Mus musculus: one gene and its partners. The protein of the gene in region 4 binds, or shares a complex with, the protein of the main gene of each other region. Links are inferred from orthologs where the notes say so. Each region holds a gene or a part of one and is shown on either strand. Other genes may lie near its edges. The genes, in order: Sf3b5, Ppil2, Armc7, Snip1, Rbm48, Snrpe and Srrm2.

What was found.
Region 1: Snip1 (region 4) and Sf3b5 share a complex: the UniProt entries of both Homo sapiens proteins name them as parts of the minor spliceosome. The link is inferred for Mus musculus from reciprocal best matches to the Homo sapiens genes SNIP1 and SF3B5.
Region 2: Snip1 (region 4) and Ppil2 share a complex: the UniProt entries of both Homo sapiens proteins name them as parts of the minor spliceosome. The link is inferred for Mus musculus from reciprocal best matches to the Homo sapiens genes SNIP1 and PPIL2.
Region 3: Snip1 (region 4) and Armc7 share a complex: the UniProt entries of both Homo sapiens proteins name them as parts of the minor spliceosome. The link is inferred for Mus musculus from reciprocal best matches to the Homo sapiens genes SNIP1 and ARMC7.
Region 5: Snip1 (region 4) and Rbm48 share a complex: the UniProt entries of both Homo sapiens proteins name them as parts of the minor spliceosome. The link is inferred for Mus musculus from reciprocal best matches to the Homo sapiens genes SNIP1 and RBM48.
Region 6: Snip1 (region 4) and Snrpe share a complex: the UniProt entries of both Homo sapiens proteins name them as parts of the minor spliceosome. The link is inferred for Mus musculus from reciprocal best matches to the Homo sapiens genes SNIP1 and SNRPE.
Region 7: Snip1 (region 4) and Srrm2 share a complex: the UniProt entries of both Homo sapiens proteins name them as parts of the minor spliceosome. The link is inferred for Mus musculus from reciprocal best matches to the Homo sapiens genes SNIP1 and SRRM2.

The regions. Positions count from the first base shown.
Region 1 is NC_000076.6:13,007,204-13,009,683, reverse strand, and holds Sf3b5 (splicing factor 3B subunit 5), read right to left. Parts: upstream 1,235-2,480; 5' UTR 1,062-1,234; coding exon 801-1,061; 3' UTR 501-800; downstream 1-500. UniProt on the Homo sapiens protein: Component of the 17S U2 SnRNP complex of the spliceosome, a large ribonucleoprotein complex that removes introns from transcribed pre-mRNAs.
Region 2 is NC_000082.6:17,094,253-17,097,752, forward strand, and holds part of Ppil2 (RING-type E3 ubiquitin-protein ligase PPIL2), read right to left. Parts: intron 3,196-3,500; coding exon 3,104-3,195; intron 2,543-3,103; coding exon 2,453-2,542; intron 1,829-2,452; coding exon 1,753-1,828; intron 792-1,752; coding exon 631-791; intron 1-630. UniProt on the Homo sapiens protein: Has a ubiquitin-protein ligase activity acting as an E3 ubiquitin protein ligase or as an ubiquitin-ubiquitin ligase promoting elongation of ubiquitin chains on substrates.
Region 3 is NC_000077.6:115,488,317-115,490,966, forward strand, and holds the end of Armc7 (armadillo repeat-containing protein 7), read left to right. Parts: intron 1-396; coding exon 397-758; 3' UTR 759-2,150; downstream 2,151-2,650. Other genes in the region: Nt5c (5'(3')-deoxyribonucleotidase, cytosolic type), read right to left, coding at 2,283-2,428, 2,537-2,650. UniProt on the Homo sapiens protein: As a component of the minor spliceosome, involved in the splicing of U12-type introns in pre-mRNAs.
Region 4 is NC_000070.6:125,065,305-125,069,471, reverse strand, and holds the start of Snip1 (smad nuclear-interacting protein 1), read right to left. Parts: upstream 2,801-4,167; 5' UTR 2,720-2,800; coding exon 2,520-2,719; intron 1,466-2,519; exon of another isoform or gene 1,383-1,465; coding exon 1,280-1,382; intron 1-1,279. Other genes in the region: Dnali1 (axonemal dynein light intermediate polypeptide 1), read left to right, coding at 3,874-3,954. UniProt on the Homo sapiens protein: Required for pre-mRNA splicing as component of the spliceosome. As a component of the minor spliceosome, involved in the splicing of U12-type introns in pre-mRNAs. Down-regulates NF-kappa-B signaling by competing with RELA for CREBBP/EP300 binding.
Region 5 is NC_000071.6:3,593,748-3,598,047, reverse strand, and holds the start of Rbm48 (RNA-binding protein 48), read left to right. Parts: upstream 1-1,500; 5' UTR 1,501-1,530; coding exon of another isoform or gene 1,531-1,659; 5' UTR 1,660-1,845; coding exon 1,846-2,082; intron 2,083-2,602; coding exon 2,603-2,793; intron 2,794-4,300. Other genes in the region: Pex1 (peroxisome biogenesis factor 1), read right to left, coding at 1,531-1,659. UniProt on the Homo sapiens protein: As a component of the minor spliceosome, involved in the splicing of U12-type introns in pre-mRNAs.
Region 6 is NC_000067.6:133,607,481-133,611,408, forward strand, and holds the start of Snrpe (small nuclear ribonucleoprotein E), read right to left. Parts: upstream 2,801-3,928; 5' UTR 2,738-2,800; coding exon 2,684-2,737; intron 2,265-2,683; coding exon 2,238-2,264; intron 1,480-2,237; coding exon 1,417-1,479; intron 1-1,416. UniProt on the Homo sapiens protein: Plays a role in pre-mRNA splicing as a core component of the spliceosomal U1, U2, U4 and U5 small nuclear ribonucleoproteins (snRNPs), the building blocks of the spliceosome.
Region 7 is NC_000083.6:23,813,225-23,816,724, forward strand, and holds part of Srrm2 (serine/arginine repetitive matrix protein 2), read left to right. Parts: intron 1-1,897; coding exon 1,898-3,500. UniProt on the Homo sapiens protein: Required for pre-mRNA splicing as component of the spliceosome. As a component of the minor spliceosome, involved in the splicing of U12-type introns in pre-mRNAs.

The DNA of each region.
Region 1 (2,480 bases), on a different chromosome or scaffold from region 4:
TCTTGATTCCTTAAAATCTGTTCTCAAATGACATCTCAGTAAAGTAGCATTGTAAGCATGGTTTTTAAAGTTGTAAACTCTTCAAGCTGGCATAATGTATGCCCTCAAACCTTTGGAAAATGCTCTGGTGAAAAGGGAAGAGGGGTGGGGGGAATGGGGCGCTGAGCAGGATGGGGACGTGATACCACTTGTTTGCCAGTTTATCATTTCTGAAGACACAAAGGGTAATCATCAAGAAAAAGGGGTAAGGGGTAGCGCATAAAGGGAAGGGTAGGAAAGGGATATGGGCAATCTCCGCGCTTCAAGGTTTCTTTGGGACCAGACACACTGTACGCGTGAAGACTATTGAGGTGGGATAATATCATAAAAGTGTGTGTGACGACTTAAGGACTTGCCCTGTGCTTCTGCCCCCATTTCCTATTTATACTCTCACAAAACCTTGATCCACAGAACCCTCTCCTAATAACCTCCCAAAGAACACAGCAATCCATACCAAAGAATAGAGCAAACCCTAAACTTTATATATATATGGTTTTTTAAAAAGGCAAGAAGACATCAACTATCGAAAAGCAGACTCGAAATGCGCATCACTCTCGTGCAGTCTTCTCCCTCGCTTGCCGATGCTGGGATCACTCCTTCTGCACAGTTCACAAGGAGCGGACCCGGACAGTCTCTCCATGACTTGTTCCGAATCCTCCACAGGTACGCAGGTCAGGCGACACAGCCAACACGGAATGGTCGAGATGCAGGAGCAAGGAGGCTCGCAGCCGGCACACGGGGAAGACTGGGCAGCGCTCACCTCAGTTCTCCTCGGGCTTGTCCGCGGGCGGCCCGCTGGGCTGCAGCATTTTCTCCATCAGGTTGAACCGCACGCGGGCTTTGCTCTCGTTCTCGGCAATGGCGAAGTAGTTGAGGAGGTCGAAGTGGCCCATGTAGGAGCAGTAGGAGTCGCGGTGCTGGTTCACCAGCCATTCCCACTTGGTGGTGTCGGCGTGGCCCGTGCCGATGTACTTGGACTGCAGATGCTCCAGCTGGCTGTGGATGGTGTACCGGTCCGTCATCGCGCCGCTCTGCTCGTAGGCTCCGAGGTCAGGACACAGACGAGAAGCTGCCGCTCGCGGCGTTCAAGTGAGAGACGCTGCCGCTGCCGGTGCCGCCGCCGCCACGCAAAACCTCAGTTCGTGCAGGCGCGGGAGAAAGACGCCACCGAGACGCAGGAGTAGACAGTCTTTTCCTAGGCGGAAGCGGAAGTGCCGTCTGTCGCGGGATTGGAGTTGCCTAGGAAACACTGGGCCGTCTCCTCACGGAGCCCGCCTACTTCGAAGAGTGTTGCATGATGGTCCGCTTAGTGGCTCTCGGGTGATCACGTTCTAGTCTGAGCGTTGCATTCTGGAACAAGTAGTCCAAAGAGTTTGTTTTAGGGTTTTGTTTTGTTTGTTTTGTTTTTGCCTGGCTGCTGTAGGACGATGGCAAACGGCCTCTGAGAGTTATCCCACGGCTCTGGGCTACTAAGAAGGGGAAATCCAAGAGGGTTTCAACTACAAGCAACCAGGAAAATTAACTCTTGTACCTAGAAGCTAACGTGGCAGCATGGTTCCCCCGCGGTCCCAGCTTTGTCTCTTAGAATTTGGGCACTGGGAAAAGTATTTTTGGTGATCAGTGTCAGCCCCAGTAGTCTCACTAATGGCTCCCACAACGAGCTCCAGGCTCCCGTTTCTCAACCCATTGAGGGGTTGTTTGCTCTAGGTCACTCAAAAGCTATTCCTTGAAGTCAGATGTGGTTCAAGACTAGATAGATAGATAGATAGATAGATAGATAGATAGATAGATAGATAGATAGATAGATAGATAGATAGATAGATAGATAGAAAGAACACCTCTCTTTCTAGTCACCTGTGTTTTTCTGCTGATTACTGCCTTACGTTGGGGGTTGTGCACTTTCTCACGTTACAAACAACTCAGAAAAGATAATTGTACTTCTTTTATGGTATCCCTTAAGGATACATGTATAGCCTGATGTAGATTGTACTCTCAAAAAACCATTTTAGGAATGGGGTAAGAGCAGTCACAGCCAAAGAGAATGGACAATGACAGACAATTTGAAAATACAGGAGTTTGGGGGTACTTTTGTTTACTTGGTGGGGGGAGGATCTGGCCCTGAGCTCACAGCAATCCTCCTGCCTTTGCCTCCTGAATGCTGGGATTAGAGGTGAGTTCCGCTCCATCCAATATTAATTCTTCTGTTTAAATTTTGTCATAATAAGCATCATGCCAGGTGGTGGTGGCACACACCTTTAATTCCACCACTTGGGAGGCAGAGGCAGGCAGATCTCTGAGTTCAGGGGCAGCCTGGTCTACAGAGCTAGTTTCAGGACAGCCAGGGCTACAAGGAGAAACTCTGTCTCAAAAAAAAATAAAACCAACCAACACCAAGACTTAGACAACATAATACACATCTTATTCCTAAAATATAGAGACTA
Region 2 (3,500 bases), on a different chromosome or scaffold from region 4:
AGCTGTGTTCAGCTTGGGAAATTATAGATGAACTTTGGTTTTCCACATTTTCCTAGAAAATCCCTATGTGGGAGACTCCACCTCTGCCTTCCCCATGGCTCAGGCTCTCCAGACTTCAGTCTACTTGGGAGAAAGACAGCACCTATCGGCTAAATGTGCTAAAGAAATTCCAGCACCACAGCTGTAGCTACGGCATAGGGCAGAGAAGCATGCTCGTCCCCGGTAGGGCCCAGGTAAGGGCTGAGACCTTAGTAGCTATAGCAACCCTAGCCCTCCCTGCCATCACAGATCTGCACACCCTCCTATCTCTGTCCTGAAATGTAAAAGCTGCCTTTGGAACACCAAAGAAAGCGGGAACATTGGTCACTGAAGCCTGTGTCAGGGCCAGTAGCATAAGGCAGCCCTATTTCTGCTGAGCCACTGTTGCCATGGGACCCCAGCTTGTCAACCATTCCTCCACCCCAAGAGTGTGCTATTCCCTCCTGATCTGTTTGGGGCCCAGTCACCCCAGCAGCCCTGGAGGGCCCAACAGCACTGGGAAGGTCCCTGCCACCATGCCAGCAAATGCATCTAGGCCCCGTGAGCACCTCCCCTGGGATCTTTCTCGGTCAGGCAGAGTGCCCCACTCACCGCATTCAGTTGGTCCACCTTCTTCTTCTCAGGTGGCCTCATGGTAGCTGCTAAAATCTCATCTCCTTTGAACTCTTTGTAGAGCTCCTGTAGCGTCTCTCTCGTCTCCGAATTTGTGTTTTTCAAATAATAAGATGGGTCTTGTTTGGCCTTTTCCTCATCTATAAAACAGTATATTGGAACGGAGCAGCCAAGGCCCCAGAAAACCAAGGCCCCAAAGAGCCTCAAGATGAGCTAATAGGAATAGAGATGGGGAAGGCCACATGAGAAGAAGCCACAGGTGAGTTGATTAGGGCAGGGTTCGCTGGTCTTAGCACAGCCATGACTTACTGCCCTTGATCATCTGGCAGGAGCTCTAGTAGGTGCAACAAGGGGGTTGGTGGAGCACACAGAAGACGCTGTCATGGTGAGTGGCCCCAGGCCTGAAGGGATGTGGGAGTCACCCTGTTTCCTGTATTACCTCTACTGCAGCCTTTTCACAATGATGTTTTGCTTTTGTGAATTTAAACGTGTTTATTTCAAGGGAAGGAAGGCCACATGTTGCCTGCTAGGCCAAAGGCTGTAACTTACTGGGCAGTGAGCTTCCCTAGGCCTGGCCTCTGGGTCTCCTGAGCGCAGTTATCCCTGAGTTGTGTGTAGCTGGCTCCTTGGCATGGCACAAGTGAGCTCAGAAACTTGAGCCACTGCATAGTATGTTATAGTACATTACAGTATGTTACAGTGTGGTCAATGGTGTGGACCAAGCACAGGAAGCAGGAAGGTCAGGGCCCTAGACAAGTCTCATGTCACCCAGTCTCACCTGCAGCCCTGTCACTGTACCCTGGAAAGAACAGTGGCCAACGGCAATCCAGAAAGCACAGTCCCACCAGAGCTAGGGAAAGGTAGGTGTCTGTGTTTCAGCTGCTTCTCTAACCGTCTGACAGACATGGTTGTGTACGCTTGTAATGCCAGCACTTAGAAGGGAAACACAGGAGGATGCTGCACATTTAAGGACAGCCTCATCTATACAGCAAATGTCATGATAGTCAAAAGCCACTCAGAAGCATAGTGTCTGGGCCCCCCAGAAGGAAGGACTTGCCCGAGAACATGTAGTCACTCACAGTAGCCTTTAGGTGTCCATACCTGGGTCTATTATTCTCATGTTATTCTTCACATGGAAGAAGTTGCTAACATTGAATTTGTCCAAATTGGTGGGGTCCTGTGAAAAGAAGAGAACACTCAGAAGTACAATGGACTGTGTCAAGCACTTCACCCACCTGTGCCAGATGTTGAAGGCTGGAAGGAGGCCAAGGCTGTGCCCCAACCCAGTGACAAGCAAGATGGCACAGACTGCCTACCTGTTCATCAAGCAGTGTGCCCTGCCTTAGGCCTCAAAAATAAGGAATGAGGCTTGCTGCCAGGTAGCACAGGATGTGGACTGGGAAGCCATTGGACCAAGCTTCAGTAACAACCACAGAGTCGTTTAACCCTATCCTAGCCTGTGCTCCCTCGAGGCCATTCACACACCACCACGGGGACAACTGTGTAGCTGCTGTTCTGAGAGTAGGGATGGGACCTGAAAAGCAGCCTAAGTGTCCTAACACCTAAGAGAGTTATGAGGCAAGTGTAGCCCTCATACAGGAGCCATGAGAGCCAGAGGCAGTCATGGTCCATGGTGGCTGTAGGGGGAGGGGGTGGCACTAAGCAATAGTTGGGTAGCAGCAGGCAGGGGTGTTATGGTACAGGTGACCACCAAGCCTGGTGAAGAAAGCTGGGGGGCAGAGTGCAGAGCAGAGGGCAGAGCGGAGGGTCAAGGCAAGGCACTTCCTGTGAAGCTCTTTACCTGCAGGGTGATGATGTCTTGCCTGGAAAAGGGCTCATCAGTCAACAGATCCCGCAAGTTCTTGGCCTTGATGTTTAGCTGCTCCACTGCCTAGAGCAGTACAGAGATATCACAGTTCCTCTGGGCCGGCACAGAGGTATGAGGTAAACAAGCACACAGGGCCACTCTGGGGTAGTCTCAAGAGTTCTCACCTGTCTGGCAGAGACTAGCCAAACCAACCTGGCCGCTTCTGGCAAGAGTTCCAACATGGGCCCTCCTGTATCATGCCTGTCCTCATCCTAGACTGAGCCAGGAATGGAGACAGCTCATGTCCCTCCTGCCAACCTGGCCCCTGTCCTAAGAACCTGGCCTCTTTTTATCTCCCTTTACTCCCATGTTTGTTCCAGAGTCTGGTCCATGCTGAAGAGAGGGTAATACTTTCCAGGCTACAAGGAATCCTTGCTTAGGCAGCCCAAACTGCCAGCCTGGGTTTGAGGTCCAAAGGCCACTAGAGTCACCTGACCTTTATTTTAGAGATAATGTCTTGTGCTAGAGGCTACGAAAGGTATGAGGACAGGCATGCTCACTGTTCCTGGTTCAACCTCAACACTCAGCCAGGCACACGTTCGGGCCCAACATTAGATAGTCCCACTCATTGCAATGGGGGTCTACCTCATAGGTGTAGACATTGCCAGTTGTCCTGATGGCCACAATATGGGTGTTGTCAGTGAACACGGAATACAGCACTGGACAGTGGTACTGCCCTAGAGAGAAAGCACACACAGGACTAGTGGCCCTCAAGGGCTTTGATTAAACAATCATGATAGTACATATTTTAACTGTAGCTACCCAGGAAACTAAGGCAGAAGAACAGAGTACAAGGCTAGCTGGACAATCTACCACGACATTGTCTCAAAGTGGAATTCTAAAAGGGAGTGGCAGCAGGGTATTTGCCTAGCATGTGCTAAGTTCTACATCCAACAAGTACCACAGGAGAGGAGAGAGGGAAGAAGGGAGGCTGGAGGGAGACAGGGAGGACGGGACAGAGGAGGAAAAAAAGAGACGGAGG
Region 3 (2,650 bases), on a different chromosome or scaffold from region 4:
CTCTGCCAGGGCCATACACTGTCTTAGCTGTTGAGCCACTTATCTAGCCTGGAGACATTATTTTTAAGCTCTACATGGTATTTTTTATCCAATGAGCTTGCTGTAATTTACTTAGACTTAGCATGTCGTGAGGTTTCTGGTTTCTTTTTCTTTCTCACTATCCTTTTGGGGGAGGGCTGATGCTGGGGACAGAAGTCAGGGTGACTCCCAGGGTGGACTCCTGAAGCCTTGGCAGAGGACTGGGTCTTGGTGACCTTGCAGTCCCTGTCCACAGGCAGACTTCTCCCCAGGCCCAAGTGCTTCCTCAGGACTCACTAGCCAGAGAGAGGCTGGGAGGCGAGACAGAGGAAAACCAGAACCCAGGCACCCGGCTCATCCACCTTTGCCTCTCTCCAGGGGGGCTCTGCAACCTGTGCGCGGACAAGGCCAACAAGGAGCACGTCCTGCAGGCGGGGGGCCTCCCGCTCATCATCGGCTGCCTGTCCAGTCCTGACGAGGAGACGGTGCTGTCTGCTGTCACCACTCTCATGTACCTGAGCTCGCCAGGCTCCCGCTCCCATCCCGAGCTGACCTCCCTGCCCGTGGTCCAGTGCATGCTGCGCTTCTCCATCTCTGCCAGCACACGGCTCCGGAACCTGGCCCAGATATTCCTAGAGGACTTCTGCTCGCCGAGCCAGGTGGCTGAGGCCCACAGCCAGCAGGCCCATTCTGCCCTGGGGATCCCACTGCCAAAGACTGAGGCCCCACAGCAGCCCTGACCCAAGGACACTTAAAGATCCTGCCACAGGTATAGGAAGCAGAAGGCTAATAGCATCCTGAGCCCATCCTGCGCAAAGTGGTGCTTGTTCAGCTGCATGCAAGCTGCAGTCTTGGCATGACAGGCGTTTGCATCCAGGGAAAACAGGAGGAGGGACGAAGCCAGACTTGAGATGCTTAGAGGAGAACCAAAGCTGGTATGGCTTTCATGGACTGGCAATCAATAAACTACAGACAGACCACCACCTCTGCTGCCCCCAGTGCCCAGCTAATGCCCTCGTGTAAGAAGCTGTGCCCCTGGGAGAGTGGCCAGTACCATGAGTGTCCAGAGTAATTTTGATGGCTAGAGATCAATCAGCCTTATTGTCTGGGGAAATGCCGTGGGTTGACTCCTCCCGTGTTGAGGCTGAGTATCTGGGCATGGTAGCATTGACTTGGAGAGCTCTGCAGAACAGAAACAACTATCCACACAGCCCTGCTCTCTGCGAGGCGCCCTAAGAGGAATGCAGAGGTGAAGTGTCTTCCCTTGGGTGTCACAGCTTAATGAGTGTTAACTAAATGGCCATTGGGCATGAAGAACAAGGCCCTACAGGTGTGAGAGCAGAATGAAGGAGAACTGAGGGCACCCGGGCATGCCTTGTCTCTCTGGAGAGGCCCTACATAGGATCCTTGGGTTAGACAGCAAGACAGTGACTTCTGTTTTACCAGGCTGTGGACCACTCATGTGCCAGCTGCCAAGTGTGGCATCCCTGTCTTTTCAAAAGAGTTGCTCTGGCCCCCTTTGCCTATGGGTCAGATCTTCTGACACTTGGGTGGGAGCCCTGAACATGAACCTTTCATGGGCTATCCCAGTCTGCTTCCTGCCATTCTCTCAGGAGCCACAAGCCTCCAGTAGGTACTGTCAACCCCTCAGGACTCAGATGCAGACCTTCCATAAAGACACCTAGAAACTAATGTCAGGGGACCATGGCGGCCCAACCTCTAATCTAATCCCTTGAGAGACAGGAGCGGGATAGCGATGAGTCTGGTCCACCTAGTGAGTTCCTGACCACAAAGGTCCGATAGAGTCTAACGAGCTCCTGTAACTGGTTACCCCGCCCTCCTCTGCCACTGAGAAGAAAAAATGGAATTAGGGGATAAGCGAAGAGCAGTCCTGACAGGAAGTGGAGTTTAGGGAAAATGGGGGCCCTGATCACTCAGCATTGTCCCCCCTCAGATGGACAACGAAAGCTGAGGAAGGAGATCTACAAGGGCTGGAGAGGGGCTGTCGTACAGCCACTGGATGAAGGAAGGCTCCCGCTCCCATCCTGAGCTGAAAAGGAAAAGGAGCATCAAAGATCCAAAGCCTCGCGTTTGGTTTTTATTTTTATTAAAAACCTCCTGATTTTCTCCACTGTATTTGTGTGCTAGTCTCCTTCTTTCCCGTGTAGGCCTCCTGGGAGGAGCCGGAAAGCAGTCTGTTCAAGTGGCTCCCTGATTAAAGAAAGTCACCTGTCCAGGCAGGGTCCTGTCCACCTCAGGGTCCTTCACAGGCTGGCTCGCTTGCTCTCAATGATCCCCCTCCAGTTGTCACTCCAGGAAAGCAGCCGTCTCCTGGTGGGGGGCAGGGCCAGGTGCTGATTGTGGCAGCAGGTGAACAAGATGTGCTCCCAGCTTGGGGTCTCCTCTAGGCCTGGGCAGTAAAGACAGCGTGCGCTCTGTAATTGGGTCATTTTTACTCCTCCTTAATCCCAGCAGGCCAGATGCCTGGGGGTTGTCAAGGTTAACTGGCTGGCCCAACCTTGAATGTTGTCTTTGTCATCAATGAGCAGGTCTCCCATGACCACCGTCTTGTCCCTAGTCAAGATAATCCGCTCCACAAACTCTGGCCCCAGGTTCTGCTCCACCCAGCGGT
Region 4 (4,167 bases):
CCACAACACCTGCCTCTTTCGAGATGTTACTAAGGAATCTAGAAGGTAACTCTACAGTTAGAGCACTTTCTGTTCTTCCAGAGGAGCTGGGTCAGTTGCTAGAACCCATGAGGTGGCTTGCAGCCAGCCTTAACTCAAGTTCTGGAGACTCTGGTACTCTTTTCTGGACCCTGTGGGCACCAGACATACACAGTGCATACACATACATGCAGGGGCGGGGAAAGCACTCATACACATGCAAAAAAATACTATTTTTAAAAGATTTTTATCACACACACACACACTCTCGAACATTTACATAGAGATGGAGACGAAAGAACCAGAACAGCTAAAAGGAAAAAAAGAAAAAGAGGAGGGTGGTGTGGAGAGATGGCGCAACAGACAAGAGCATTGGCTACTTTTTCCAGAGGACCTGGGTTCAATTCCTAGCACCCACATGGCAGCTCATATGCAGCAAAGAGGACATTCAGTTTGAGACTTACTATGCAAGTGCAGTAATCGAGTCTGCATGGATAGACATATACCTGACTGAGTTTCAATGTGGGAGTAAAATAATTCAATGGAGACAACCAATGTCCTTTGAAAAACTGGTCCTAGCCGGGCGTGGTGGCACACGCCTTTAATCCCAGCACTCGGGAGCAGAGGCAGGCGGATTTCTGAGTTCGAGACCAGCCTGGTCTACAAAGTAAGTTCCAGGACAGCCAGGGCTACACAGAGAAACCCTGTCTCAAAAAAAAAAAAAAAAAAAAGAAAGAAAAAGAAAAACTGGTCCTACAGCACATGGGCACTCACAGACCCAACGTGACCCATCTGTGCTGGTTTCAACAGCACCAAGGACAATCTTCTAACCTAAAGACCCTGGGCTTAAGTGTGCATCCAGAACAATAGAAAGAGAGAAGCGGCCAGCCAGGAGGTAAGGAAGGATAAAGGCGGAGAAGTATCAGACATCATGAGGCACCTTGATGGTGGTGAAACGTCTGTGTCCTGACCACGACACTGTCCAGCTGTGCGAGAAGTTGCCATTGAGAGAAACATGGATATGTACATCTCTCCGTATTATTTCTGACAAGAGTTATCAGAATCAAATCAACAATTGTCTCCAAACGTTAAAATTTCAGGAAAAACAGCCCCAAATACATATCCCATTTTTAGAAAAGCCCACTGCAGTGACAAGGAAGCATGTCCACACCTGGCTGCCAACCTCTTGGGGTTCAGCAACAGCTCTGGGCTGGAGCTTTCCACCCATGGTCCCTGCCCACTCACTCACTCACTCACTCACCTGCTTCACTTTGACCATGGGGTAGTGGGGACTCTGGCTTCTCTTGGTCCGTGGTGACTTGCTTCTTCTCCCAGAGGACTTGCTTTTCTTCTTGGCTGGGGACCTTTACAGAGAATGGTACACAGGATTTTTTACCTCAAAGTTCCTTCCCGAAAGTAAGTTAGCTTCCAGGATCAGGCTCACCTACTAAACACAACACATCTGTGAGATCAGTAGCCACAGCAGGCCTTCACTTCCCATAAACACTTCTCCCAACCACATACACAATGGCCTGCTAAGCCTTCTCACCTAGACAACCTTATTCTCCAACCCCAACGCCTCAGAAACCTTTCTTCTCCGGATGCGCCATCCTACTATCTGGCACTACTATCCAGGAAGCCAATCTAGCCTGGTTTTTTCCCTAACACAACTCCCTTCTCCAACAACCAAAACCAATCCCTTGGCAGGTCTCAGGGCCCTGCCCTGTCCTCCATCCCACATCCTTCCTACCAGCCTACAATGCTGCTCCATCTCTCAATTCCAGATATGCTGGCTGTTTTGTTTTTGTTTTTGTTGCTGCTGTTGTTCAACTTCTAAAACAAACAGAATTCCAGCTCAGGTTCTATGTATATATTTTTCTGTCATAATCGTGCACGCGCCGTGTTTGTGTGTATACACTCAGAAACCTCCTGTCTCAGCATCCCCTCTGCTGGGTTACAAGCATGCCCGACCACAGTGGGTTGGTCCTTCCTGGAGTCTTTGCTAAAAGACTCTTGACTCAAGAGAATGGATCAATCCTACCAGCCAGGTCTCCGTTAAGGAGCACCTCTGTACAAGCCCTCTCTTTTTTCTACCCAGCCTCTCGCTACCACACTGCCGTTTTGATCTGTCTTTAATACTGACTGAAATTATCTATTTGTTGTTTTCCTTCTTCGAGTTAGAGCCTGCCCAACTTCGCCAAGGAAAAAGCATCTCTCTTCTTTGCCTTGTGACCCAGTACCTCCAATTGATCTTTAACCCACACTACGCACTCAATAAATCGATGCCACATGGAGGCATTGGCGAATGAGTGCTGCGAAGAAGTCGCCAAGACCCAACGTGTCTTTGTAGGCAGACGAGGGGAGAAGCCACTCGCACCATCCACTCGCGGGCAGGCGGGGGAAATCTCATTTCAACTCAACAGGTGCTCTGCACTCCAGAGCCGCTCGCACCACCGGCCCCCGCGCCATCCCGTCCTCCGCCCAATCACCGGCTCGCTTACCGGGCTCGGCTCCCGCGGTGACCCGAGTGGCCAGGCTCGGCGGCGGGCGGGGACAGGCTAGCGGCTGGAGCGTCGGGCCGGCGGTGCGCGACGGGTTCGGGGCTCAGACGCTCCTGTTTCACCACCACGGTCGTCAGAGCGTCGCCTGACCGGTGTCGCCGCCGGCCGCTCCGCTCCCGCTCGCTTTTCCCCGCCTTCATCCTGCGGCCCGACCGAGAGTCACTTGCACGGTCCGTTGAGCCACTTGAGCCGTAGGAAGTGACGGACAGCTTTGCACTTCCGCTTCCGGGCAGCGCGCTATCCCAGAAGCCTTCACGGTGTCGGCCCCCCTGATGGGCGGGGCCCCAGGTGTTTGAGTCTCAGACGCTGGGGACGCCGGCGCGAGTGGCCACGGGGTCCCCGCTGCTGGGAGGTGTGGCTGGAGTACTGAAAAGGCAGGGCCAACCCCCCGGGAGGCTGAAGCAGGAGGATCGCAGTAATTTCGAGGCCAACCTGGGCAATTTAGTGAAACTGTCTCAAAATCTGAAAAAGTTGTAGCTCGGATAGATCGCAAAGCTCTGAATTCATCCTCAGCACCGCCAAATAGAAATCAAGAGTTAAAAGGGGAGGGAAGGCTGAGATTGTAGCTTAGTTACCGAGCGAGCGTTTGCCTCGCGAGTACGAAGCCCTGGATTAGTCCCCAGAACCTCAAAAAAATATATATGACAATCTCCCCCCCCCCCCGTCATAGTCAGGTTTTCAGTGTACCCTGGCTGTTCTAGAAGTCACTCTATAACCAGGCTGACCTTGAACTCTGCCTCCCTCTGACTCCCAAATGCTGTCATTAAGGTGTGTGGTACCATCGCCCAGCTTTTTTTTTTTTTTTTTTTTTTTTTTTTTGAAAAAAGAAAAAAACCTGTGGGAAAGCTAACCCAGCTCTGTTCCTTGCGCGTTATTAGTAGTTACGAAACACAGACACTCAACAATGTGAAACTCTTTTTTGTTTCTTGAAATAGTGTCTCTATATAGCCTTGGCTGTCCTGGAATCCACAAAGATCTGCCAGCCTCTGGCTTCCAAATGCCAATCGTCGCCAAATACTCTATAGAGTCACTAGATGACTTCCGTTTTAATCAAAGGTGGTCTGTCCATTTCATCATAAACCGAAACAGACCTAACGCTAGGGGTCCAGTCTTCTTTACTAAGAAACTTAGTGCTTGCGGAGAAAGCACAGTAGAACAAAACTTGCACGCGGCCGGCACCGCCTTCCTCAGAGGCCCCGCCCCATCCATGGGGCAAGGAGAGGAGGGGTTTCCATGGTGATCGCAAACAAGACTCCACAGGGGCCGCTACGGAGTTGTTACCCCTACTGCCACCATGATACCCCCAGCAGACTCTCTGCTCAAATATGACACCCCGGTGTTGGTGAGCCGGAATACAGAGAAACGGAGCCCCACGGTATGAACAGGCGTCTCAGGGGACGCGAGATCCTACAAACTCCCATGGGGAAAAGACATCCCAGCTTTGAGGATCTCTGGAATTTCAGGGGACAGATTGCTGGGGCTGACAGCCAAGGGAATTGGGACAGGGATGGAGGTTGGGAGAAGAGAACAAGAAGCCTAGCTATGACCTTAGAGGACAAATTTAAGATGAGAAAAGTCACATGGAAAA
Region 5 (4,300 bases), on a different chromosome or scaffold from region 4:
GTAATTGCTAAAAGCAATGACCTCTCAACAAAAGTCATATTAATACTACACAAAACCAGGACAGGAAGCTGGGCGTGGTGGCGCACGCCTTTAATCCCAGCACTCGGGAGGCAGAGGCAGGCGGATTTCTGAGTTCGAGGCCAGCCTGGTCTACAAAGTGAGTTCCAGGACAGACAGGGCTACACAGAAAAACCCTGTCTCGAAAAAAACAAACAAAACAAAACAAAACAAAACAAAAAACCAGGACAGGAAACCTCATGTGTATCTAGCTCCACCTTTCTATAAACAATAAAGATTAGATATAAGCATGCAAGACTTAATCCAAATGCTTAGTATTTTACTTCTTCACTTCTCAAATAATAATAAAAATAATAATAAAGACCAAGACTATGTAATTCCTAAACAGTGATGAATCCAAGGAAGCAACAACATGTCAGGTTCAAATTCTTAGCGACCATAAGGAAGCATTTTTCTAAACTCATGGGGTGGTAAGCTTAATTTGAGATTTGAAAATACACTGAAAAATCCCCATCAGAAATGACAGGGAATAATGATCCAAGCTGGGATTTGGTAACAGTGAATGATTCCTTTCAGTCACCAGAAAGCAAACCAGAGAGTTAGAGAATATTTGGTGGAGATAAACTAACAGTAAGAATGGTTCTGATGAAATTGGTGTGTTCTGATAGGTGGACTGTAAAAGCAAGATAAATGTAGCAAAGAGGAAATAAAGGTAGAATACTTGAAGTCATTTCAAACTCTTGTATATTTTTTTTATGACCCAGTGTTCAGGTACCATGCATCTAGGATTTTAGATTTCAAATACTCTAACCCCATGAATACACTCAAACTAAGAGAGTCTATTTCTGCTCACTCTTAGGAAAATATGGATGCTGTATTTCCACCGATGGTTAATAGCCTTGAAACACCATAATGACAGAATCCAGACAGCTCGCTGAGGTCCAAGTAATCCTAGCTACCGAGGTGAAAGTGTGGGGTGTGAATAATTCCATCACCTTGTCACCCCGCCCCACCTCCCTCGCCGCACATATTCTTGCTATGTTCGAAGTCCTCCGGAGCAGGGAGAGCTATCTATCCTTTTATTAACCTTTCGCACAGGTTGGAAACCTTGGTAATCTACAAACCAAGTCTGCCACTCAACACCTCTATCGCTGCACCGGCAACTCGTTGGCAGGATAATGCTTTAGCAACCTGTAAGCAAACCTGTAAGAGCTCTCTAGAACTTTCCATCCTTGAGTGAGGGCCGCTTCTGACTGCTGGGGCAGAACCCTTGCATGCTCAGCTTGCTTTAACCGAGTTAAAGGGGTGCACTAGGAATTCCACGGTAGGGTCTGAGGATACACTAGCCGTGGTGTGGATGCACACGCTGCCACTCCACGCCATGCCCGCAGGGGGCCCTCGCTCACGCCTCAGCTCGGGGTCGGTGGCAGACGATGTCCCTGCAGGAAAAGGTGTCAGCTGACCCTAGTCCCACGAGACGTCAGTGGTGTCCGCGTCCCGCCAGCGCGTTACCTGCAGCAGGTGAAGCTGGGCCACGAGGCGCCGCGGCAGATGCAGGAAGCAGTCCCGAGCATTCGTGAAGGCCACCGTCACGACCGCCCCACCAGACCCCGCACCCGCTAAGCGATCGCTGCTCCACATTGTCCCAAGGTTCAACTCTCACCGGAGAGCGGAGTCCACCGGCTTCTCGTCAGGTGAGAGCGTCGGAACCCGAGAACATCGATCAGGCCCGCCCCCCTCTTCCCACGCCCGGCCGCTGTCACCCTCGGGCCACCTCCGAAGCTCTAGGGGGCGGCACGTCGCTCGTCGAATTCTCGCTCTCAGGAGATGATCGTCGATGGGGTCGATCCTTCAGCCAATCCTAGCACGCCTGGTCCATCCTGCTCTCTTATTGGACTCAGAGGAGCGCGGCTGGCGGATGTTGTTCTGGCGCGGGGGACTAGAGCCGGCAAGATGGCATCCAGTGACGGGAAACCTGGTGGCGTATTCGATCACCACGTCCAGACGGCTGTGTGTGACTCGCGGGCCAAATACCGGGAGGGCCGACGCCCTCGCGCGGTCAAGGTAGAGTGACTCGGATTCTTCTCTCCCCTCGGCAGGGACACTAAATTCCTGTGAGCACTAGCTCCCCAAGGCCTGCCTCCATAAAGGCATGGCAGGGATGTTGTGAGATCCATCTCTAAGTGGAGGGGGCACGAAGAACCCGGGCCCCGGTACCAAAGGTTATCACTACCCTCGGTTAGCTGCTTACCAAACCTCCAACCCACTATTTTTAGCTTTGTATCCTATGTGTTTACAATAGCGCTTCTCACAGGGCAAGCCCAGGGTGAGTGAGTGTTCAGTGGCTGTTTACATTAACCTCTCTGGAGTCAGCTTTTGGAAAAGACGTCTGTTAAGTGGTTTAGTCAGATACCCTTATGTGGAGTGTGGTAGTCTTTAGGCAGAAGAGTGACAGTTTAGTGTGTATGTTTTGCAGACCGGATTGTTTCTTGTTTTCAAAGCTCCATTTAAAAGGGGGTGGGAGGACCGATTTGCCATAGGCTTGTTTGAAGAGTACATTTAACGAGGTCTCCTTTGACTTTAGGTATATACAATCAATTTGGAGTCTCAGTACTTACTAATACAAGGAGTTCCTGCAGTGGGAGCCATGAAGGAATTAGTTGAGCGTTTTGCTCTGTATGGTGCGATTGAACAGTATAACGCTCTAGATGAATACCCAGCGGAAGATTTTACAGAAGTTTATCTCATTAAATTTGTGAAATTACAGAGTGCAAGGTATGTACAAGTTAAGCAGAACTCCTGTTAAAATCTTATTCCTGTTGCTGTCATTTTGGCCCCAACTGTTTCCCAAATGTACCCAAAGCACAGAAGCACTTCTTGCTCTCAGTCTTCCTGATTGGGGGGAGGAGGGGAGGGGACAGGGTTTATTTGGATAGCCTTAGCTGTGCTAGAATTAGTTCTGTAGACCAGGCTGGCCTTGAACTCAAAGATCCCTTTGCCTTTGCCTCTGACTCTCGAGTGCTGGGTTTAAAGGTATGCACCACTCCACCTCGCCTTCCAGTTTGTTTTTCACCAGGCCTCACATCTGCGACTTAATCACTCTAACAGTGAGTGACATCCCAGCTCTTCCTTCAAGCTTTTAAAAGGCTGACTTTACAACAATACTCTTCCCATCCTCTCATACCTGTGCTTGGCAAATTTTGAACCTGTAGTGTGGTAGATTAAGAATTACGTTTGAAGTAAATTATCAGTCCTGTGGATTCATGACTGTGGAGAATTTTAGTCCTCCAAGCAAATTTTTGTTCTTTTCCTAAAATCCATATGGCAAAAAGGACTACTTCTTGAGGTTCACTGAGCAAGGATGAAATGGGACAATTTATGTAAAGGGAGTAGACTGGTACCTCCTATTAAGAGGAAATAGTAGAGCCGGGCAGAGGTGGCACATGCCTGTAATCCTAGCACCAGGGAGGCAGAAGCAGGTGGACCTCTTGAGGTGGAGCCAGCCTTGTCTACAGAGTGAGTTCCAGGAGAGCCAGGGCTACACAGAGAAAACCCTGTTTCCAAAAAACAAGCAAACAAACAAAAAGTAACTATTAGTAATGACAGTTCTTATTTGTATAGTTCTATGTTAATCAACTTTGTATTCCAATAAGGAATGCTTTATTTTATGTTAACCCCTTTTGGCGGGGGGGGGGGGGGGTGCATGTGTGTGCATATTCCTGTGTGTGTATGTGTGTGTGTGTGTATGTGAGTGAACACTAGCCTGAAACTGGCTGTGTAGACCAGCTGACCTAGAACTCAAAACTTCCTCCAGACTCTGCCTACCCATCTCCACCAGGTTCAAAGGCTTGTGTGCACTACAGTGTACTCTATCCTATTTTTTGAGGTTGGGCCCCTCCCTCACTGAGCTCATTGGCTAGATTGGTGACTGTCAAACTCAGTGATCCTTCTATCTCTACCCTGTGAGCACTGGAATTACAGGCACAGTGCGGTGCCTGGCTTTCACGTGCATGCCAGGGGTCTGAGCCAAGGCACTCCAGCAAGGGCTTTTCCACCGGAGCAGCCTTCCTAGCTCATGTTAGCCATTTTTTCATTTTAATCACTAACCTTATCTAAACCATATCTTTTTCTGGCTTTTGCTATTCATAAACTTTTTTTTTTTTTTTGGTATGGAAAAAGACTTCAAATCCCCTGGAGCTGAAGTTACAGGTGGTTGTGAACCACCCAAGATGGATGCTGGGATTTGACTCTGCTCTTCTCAAAGATCAGCAAGTGCTCTTTT
Region 6 (3,928 bases), on a different chromosome or scaffold from region 4:
GGAGACATGTCAATTGGTAAAGTACATGCAGTCATGAGTTTGGATCCCTACTCAAACAATGCAGTGCACAGTGGCCTGCAGCCGCACCTAGTGCTGGCCAACTAGTCTTGTTAAATCCATGAGTTCCAGGCTCAAAAAGCAGAGAGCAATAAAAGATACCTCTAGCACATACATCCACACATATGAGTATGTACAAAGCAACCCCACTCACTCCCTTGATGCAAAAAAGAAAAAAAAAAAGTGAGGCTGAGCACGTCTGTAAATCTCAGGAGGCTGAGGCAGGATGGGAAGTTCAAGGCCTTTACTGGGCTACATAGCAATTTCTTGCCTCAAAATAACAATGCCAGAGCTGGACAGTTCAGTAGTTAAGAAGACTGGCTTTTCTTCCAGAGGACCCAGATTCAATTCCCAGCACCCACATGGCATCTCACAACTGTTGATAACTCCAGTCCCAGGGGATCTGGTGCCCTCACACAAATAACAGTAGGCAGAACACCATTGCACATAAAAATAAATAAATCTTTAAAAAAATTTTTTTTCCATTTTCATGGCTATTAATCTAAACATTGAAGAGGCTCAGACAAGAGGATTTCCATGTGTAAGTCTCTCTTAAAAGACTCTGCCTCACACAAAGGAAAAACAGAGACGGGAGAGGTGGTGGAGTTACAAATCCTTCCTTGCTGCTCTTGCAAAGGACCCAGGTTTGGTTCCCAGCACCTACATGGAAGCTCACAATCACCCATCTTCAGGTGAGCCAACAACTTCTGGCCTGTTTGGGCATTAAACACACACAGGCAAAACACTCAGACAAATAAATCTAAAATAACAACAAAAACTTATTGCCATGGTAGCTGTGTGGTAGAGCAGGTACTTTGATCCCCAACACCATCACGATAGAAGCCTAACAAACCATAAGTCTCACCCCCACCAGCTCTATTCTGGCATGATCTAATCCAGAATGCAAGTCCTTTATCACTCCCCGCCCCCCTCTCATTTTGTTTTTGTTCCCTCTCCTCACAAACGAAGCTCTTCTTAAAAGTCTTAACTCTCCCTTCCTTTTTTTTTTTTTTTTTGGTTTTTCAAGACAGGGTTTCTCTGTGTAGCTCTGGCTGTCCTGGAACTCACTCTGTAGACCAGCCTGGCCTCAAACTCAGAAATCCGCCTGCCTCTGCCTCCCGAGTGCTGGGACTAAAGGCGTGCGCCACCACCGCCTAACCTCTCCCTTCCCTTCCTCTTAAGAGAAGTATTATCTAACCCTATTAACCAGAGCAAGGAGAAAAGGCTAAATAAATAACTCCAGCTCTGAAGAGCTTTCTTTGGGTTGGGTCCTTGACGCCTTGTATATTGTTCTTACTGGCCATCTTCTGAGATGTCTTTTTTAATAACAACTTGAGGAAAAATAGCCTGGGTACTCACAATAATACAACCTTCTATCCGCATATTCACTTGTTCATACAGCCACACCTGAATTCGAGATCTCTGAAATAAAAATAATGACTTTAGAAATGTAAACAAATCCCACTCCATTACTTTGTTTCCACAATAAACGACTTATCTTAAAAATTCCAATAAATATAAGCCAAAAACTAGAACTAGTTAGTCTTCATCTAAGAGCTAGCAACACTGGTTAACCTGCTGAGAAACATTTAATAAGTGCTCGGGCAGGCCTGTCCAAACTAATTTTCCTACTCTGAAAATTTATTTTTGCTTCTGGCATGAATACACTTACAGTTAGAACTGTTCACAGGATAGTACAAAGCGAATCTGGCGATTAAAAATTACAATGGCTTAAAACGATTTTTCATCTGTGTTGTAACACTCTAAAATAAACATCGCTAAAATCTCCTCAAAGAAGAGCATTTGCCACTCGCTTCTCTGTATATAACGCCCCCACTCCCCCAAACCCCGCTTTGGTGTCTTTTCTCCATTCTAAGTCCAACTATGGAAAAAGCACTATGCAACTGTCACTGCTAAATCCGATGACAAATCGTTCTTACAGAGTAATTTTAATAGTAAATATAATTACATTGTTCTTACAGAATAATGGTAACTGTGTGCATCCTTAAGTCAGCACGGACATATTAATAATTAGCGCTTTCCCTGTGACCTTATCCTCAACTCTGGTTCTCCCCCCCCCCCAATTTTTTAGTCTAAGCACTAGAAACAGAGAATTTGTTACAAAGAGTCAAACAGGCCCAACTTTCATTTCAGTAACAGTAAGGAAACAACTTACGTACATTTTGCAAGTATCTGAAGATAAGGTTCTGCAGCACGGCGATCAAGGAAAAGAACTACACAAACAGCGGAGCCTCCGCTCCCAACCGCGCCGGACTCTCCAGCGCCCCAAGGTCCGGCCGGGCTACATCCGCAAGCACAAACGACCGCCGGGAGCATGCGCTCCCTCCCCACCGCCCTCGTTTCTCCAACCTTCCCGATGGCCCACATCCTCCTCTCCTCCTCGGTATCCCCCGCTTTCATCGCGGATCGCCAGCCTGGCCGGGTCCACCCGGAGCCCGCCTTCCGCCTCCCGCCTCCCGCCGCCCTTCAACTCCGCGCGCTTTCCTGCCTCCCCGTTCGCCCCAGGGCCTCACGGGAAGCGGCCCGCAGCGGGCTGCCCGGCTCCCCGCCCACGCTCACGGCGCCTACGGCCCCCAAAGCCCCGAGTTCACGCAGCGTAGGATACGATGGGCTGCACCATCACCTTCTGCACCTTTTGGCCCTGGCCGCGGTACGCCATGGTGGAAGTCACAAAGACCACACGAGTAGGAAGGCCGCCTCGGAAAGCGACTTCCGGAAGCAAGACCCGGAAACGGAAGTGCAGTGGTCGTCGGCGACGCGGGCCGGTCCTGGGGAACGCCTCTCTAGGCCAGGAGCCGCTTTTTCTCTATGCTGATAGACTCCGCCGGCGGCCTTCCGACTCAACCGCTCTTTGAAGTCGAGGTCGGTCCTACAGCGCCACCTGGAGGTAGGCTGAGAGGCTTGCCTCTGCCTAGGTGCTCTTCTGAGAGCTGCTCTGGAATTTAGAGGCGGCATCTTGTCCAGAACCATCTGCAGACTCCCCTTATTTGTTTTGGGCCCCAGAGCTAGTCTAGATGGTCATGCCCGAAGCAGTGGTGGAGTTGTGGCTTGTTCAATAACAGATTCAACCCTCATCACCTTTATGCAGAGTTAACTGTTGCAGTGGCAACTGAAGATGGCAATCTAACTAGCTTGGAGGTATTGAAATCGGCTTGTTGGACTCAGATCTCTCTCAGTTGTGTGACCGGTGATAATTAAGTCATTAGGCCTCAGCATCTCCGTCCCGCAAGGGGACAGGAGGTGAAGATTCAGGGAGGTAGTAGTGCACAGGTGCTCCTAGAACACATCTGTAATCTCAGCTTGTGGAAGGCGCAAGGTGAGTATGACCTTAAGCTAAGTAGTACGTTCCAGATCTAAGCTACATGAGGCCTTGTTTCAAAACAAAACAACCTACATGGTATACAACCTGATAAACTTAAGGTAAGTTAGAAATGTAAGTTAAAAAAAAATGCATTTAATGCAGATACCTTGGGCCCAGGGGAGATGATTCGGTAGGTGGGACATGAGGTCTGTCAACCAGCACCTACACAAAATTACATGCCTGTAATTCCAGAGACAGGAAGGAGGGTGCCTGGGCTGGATGGCCAACTAGTCTAACTTAATCGCCAAGTCCTAGGTTCAATGAGAGACCCTGTCTCAGAAGGTAGGGTGAAGAGTGACTCAGAAGGACACTTGATGACATCCTTTGGCCTCCACATGCACACAGAAAATTGTTGAAAATGTATATGCCTAGTCTACTCAATGCCATCGCTTAGCAACACAACATAGCAGCCTTTCTTGAAGCTGCAGCTGCCCCCCACCTCACCAGAAAGTACCTAGAGCTGCTTACCAGGGAAATGATCAAAATTTA
Region 7 (3,500 bases), on a different chromosome or scaffold from region 4:
TACAGCAGCTAAAACTGCCCTCTTGGGTTGAGATGTTGTTCCTTCAAGGAATCCATGTCTGAATGTGGGATAAACAATTTTAGGCTCCTCATCCACCCAGACGCAGTAGTGCTTTGTCTCTTTTAGTCTTGGGACTCCAATAATACTCTTGCTCTTGCCACAATAGCCACATTTGCCACAGGTCAACTTCTGAAGGTGGTGGTTAAGTGCCTTAGTGCCATAGAAGTGGCACATGTACATCGAATTATGACCAAGGATGATGTTTTCTTTTGTCATCTTGCTTCTGCCCAACAAAAAGTTTTCTTTTTTTTTTTTTTTGATTTCTTTTTTTTTAAATTAGGTATTTTCCTCGTTTACATTTTCAGTGCTATCCCAAAGGTCCCCCATACCCACCCCCCAACAAAAAGTTTTCTAAAAATTACCTTTAACTTTACTACTTAAAGTATCTATATCCTTTTTATTGTATGCTTGTCATGAGTTCTTACATTTTTCAATCCTTTGATTTGATGCCACCAATCTGAAAGCATGAAAGAATTATCTTTTTAGTAGTTCCTGTTTTATATTCTCTATTCTAGTTCTGTGGCTGATTGTTTCTACTGGTTTCAGTAATTAATGTAACTTAATATTTCCCGTATTGTGTCTCATTTTAAAGATAAGTTACAAGAAAACTTTGCTGCTTGCTATGGTGTTTGTGGTGTTTTCTGTAATTAAGCTGTTTTTATGGTTTGGCCTGTTCCTGTAAGACCATGGTGAATTAATTTTTGTGTGTATGTATGAGGGGGAGGCAAATGTGTTACATGTGTTTGGAGGTCAAAGGACAAAACTACCTATATATGTGTTCTGTGGATTGAACTCTGGTTACCAGGCTTATGTTGCAAGTGCCATCTCATTGACTGTTGGTCAGTATGTTTGTTTTTGAGACAGGGTCTCCTTACATAAGGCCCTGGCTGTCATGCAACTTAATACATAGTTCAGGCTAATCTTAAACTCACAGAGCTCCACCTGCCTCTGTCTCTGAAGTACTGGGATTAAAGGCATATATGGCCATGCCAGGCCCCTCTTGATAAAATTTAACACATTATACACTTTAAAACCTTGTGCCCATTTGTGATATTTTAAGTCAGTCCATATTCAGGTGAAAGTTATTGTCACCCAAACTTTCTCTTTTTGTTTAATTATACCTTTTTTGGGTGGTGTTGTAGTGTTCATTTGCAACCCATACACAACGTCAGACACTTTCCCTTGAAAAGAAAAAAACATTCAATAGAGATGACTTGCTTGATGAGTTTAAAACACTCATCAAAAGATATTGAGTAAGTTTAAGAGAACAATGTACAAAGCAAAAAAAAAATTAAGAGGTAAGATAAAAAAAAAGGAAAATGACTTAGTAGGTGAGTAATTGGTTGCTAGTGATAGTCTATGTGTAACCCCAGTATGCAAAATGGAGACAGGGCTGTCTGTCTATAAGGTGTACCACAGGGCAGGTGGTATTTTGTTGGTAATGCATTGTTTACATTTTCTTGTTTCTCTGAATTACTACTTGAGGTTAGAGATTGTTTATATGGTCAGGTTTTTCCCTTGCTACTTTATTTTCTCATTGTTAAAAATGCATTTATTTTGTGTGTGTGCATGTGATACATGCACATGTGCAGTTCATAGAACAATTTTGAAGAGTAGGTTTTCTCTTTGCCACCTCATGGGCCCATTAAGCTATCTTACTGGCTCCCAACTAAGCATTGCATATTGTCTTGTTACTGAGTATAACTATGGGTAGGGAAAGGGTCAATTGGTATAAGAAGTATATAGTGTAAAATTTTATTAGAAACTCTTCGTATCTTATAGGATAATGAGGTTTTGGTGTTTTTTTTACTATTCCTACTTCTCTTTTCACTCTTAGAAATCTGCAGTTCGACCTAGCCCCTCTCCGGAAAGGAGCAGCACAGGGCCAGAACTACCTGCCCCTACTCCGCTCCTTGTTGAGCAACATGTCGACTCCCCACGACCCCTTGCAGCAATCCCGTCCAGTCAGGAGCCAGTTAACCCCTCATCTGAGGCTTCCCCAACCCGGGGCTGTTCACCACCTAAGTCTCCTGAGAAACCTCCCCAGTCTACTTCCTCAGAAAGTTGCCCACCATCCCCTCAACCTACCAAAGGTTCTCGGCATGCCAGCTCTTCTCCTGAAAGTCTTAAACCCACACCAGCTCCTGGGTCCCGTCGAGAGATTTCTTCTTCACCCACATCTAAGAATCGCTCGCATGGCAGAGCAAAGCGGGATAAATCTCATTCTCATACCCCATCTCATAGAGCAGGGAGGTCTCGTAGTCCTGCCACTAAGAGGGGACGGTCTCGATCTAGAACCCCCACCAAGAGAGGTCACTCCAGGTCCCGGTCCCCTCAGTGGAGAAGGTCAAGATCTGCACAGAGGTGGGGAAAATCTAGAAGTCCCCAGAGGCGTGGCCGTTCAAGGTCTCCTCAGAGGCCAGGTTGGTCCAGGAGCAGAAATACCCAGAGAAGAGGCAGGTCTAGGTCAGCAAGGCGAGGCAGATCACATTCTAGATCTCCAGCTACTAGGGGCAGATCCCGATCTAGAACACCAGCTAGAAGGGGTAGGTCTCGGTCCAGAACACCTGCCAGGCGAAGATCACGATCCAGAACACCTGCCAGGCGTAGGTCTCGGTCTAGAACACCAGCTCGCAGGGGCAGGTCCAGATCAAGAACACCCGCTCGCCGCAGGTCTAGGACACGATCACCAGTTCGAAGGAGGTCTCGGAGTAGATCCCAAGCTAGGAGAAGTGGTAGGTCTAGGTCCAGAACACCAGCCAGGAGAAGTGGCAGGTCAAGATCTAGAACACCAGCCAGGAGAGGGAGGTCCCGGTCTAGAACGCCAGCCAGAAGAAGCGCTCGATCTCGGTCTAGAACGCCAGCCAGGAGAGGGAGGTCACGATCCAGAACACCAGCACGACGACGATCTCGAAGTAGAAGTCTTGTGAGACGTGGAAGATCTCACTCTAGAACACCACAAAGAAGAGGACGATCTGGCTCATCCTCAGAGAGGAAGAACAAATCTAGAACATCTCAGAGGAGAAGCAGATCCAACTCAAGCCCAGAAATGAAAAAATCTCACGTTTCCTCAAGACGGAGCAGGTCTCTTTCTTCACCACGATCCAAAGCAAAATCTTTGAGGCGAAGCCTTTCAGGTTCCTCTCCATGTCCTAAACAAAAGTCACAGACACCAACCAGGCGAAGTCGTTCTGGTTCTTCACCACCTAAACAAAAGTCAAAAACACCACCAAGACAGAGTCGTTCAAATTCTCCTCAGCCTAAAGTAAAATCTGGAACACCACCAAGACCAGGGTCTGTAACAAACATGCAGGCTGATGAATGCACTGCAACACCACAGAGACAGAGCCATTCTGAATCATCACCTGATGGTGAGGTGAAATCAAGGACCCCATCAAGACAAAGCTGCTCTGGGTCTTCTCCTCGAGTGAAATCTAGCA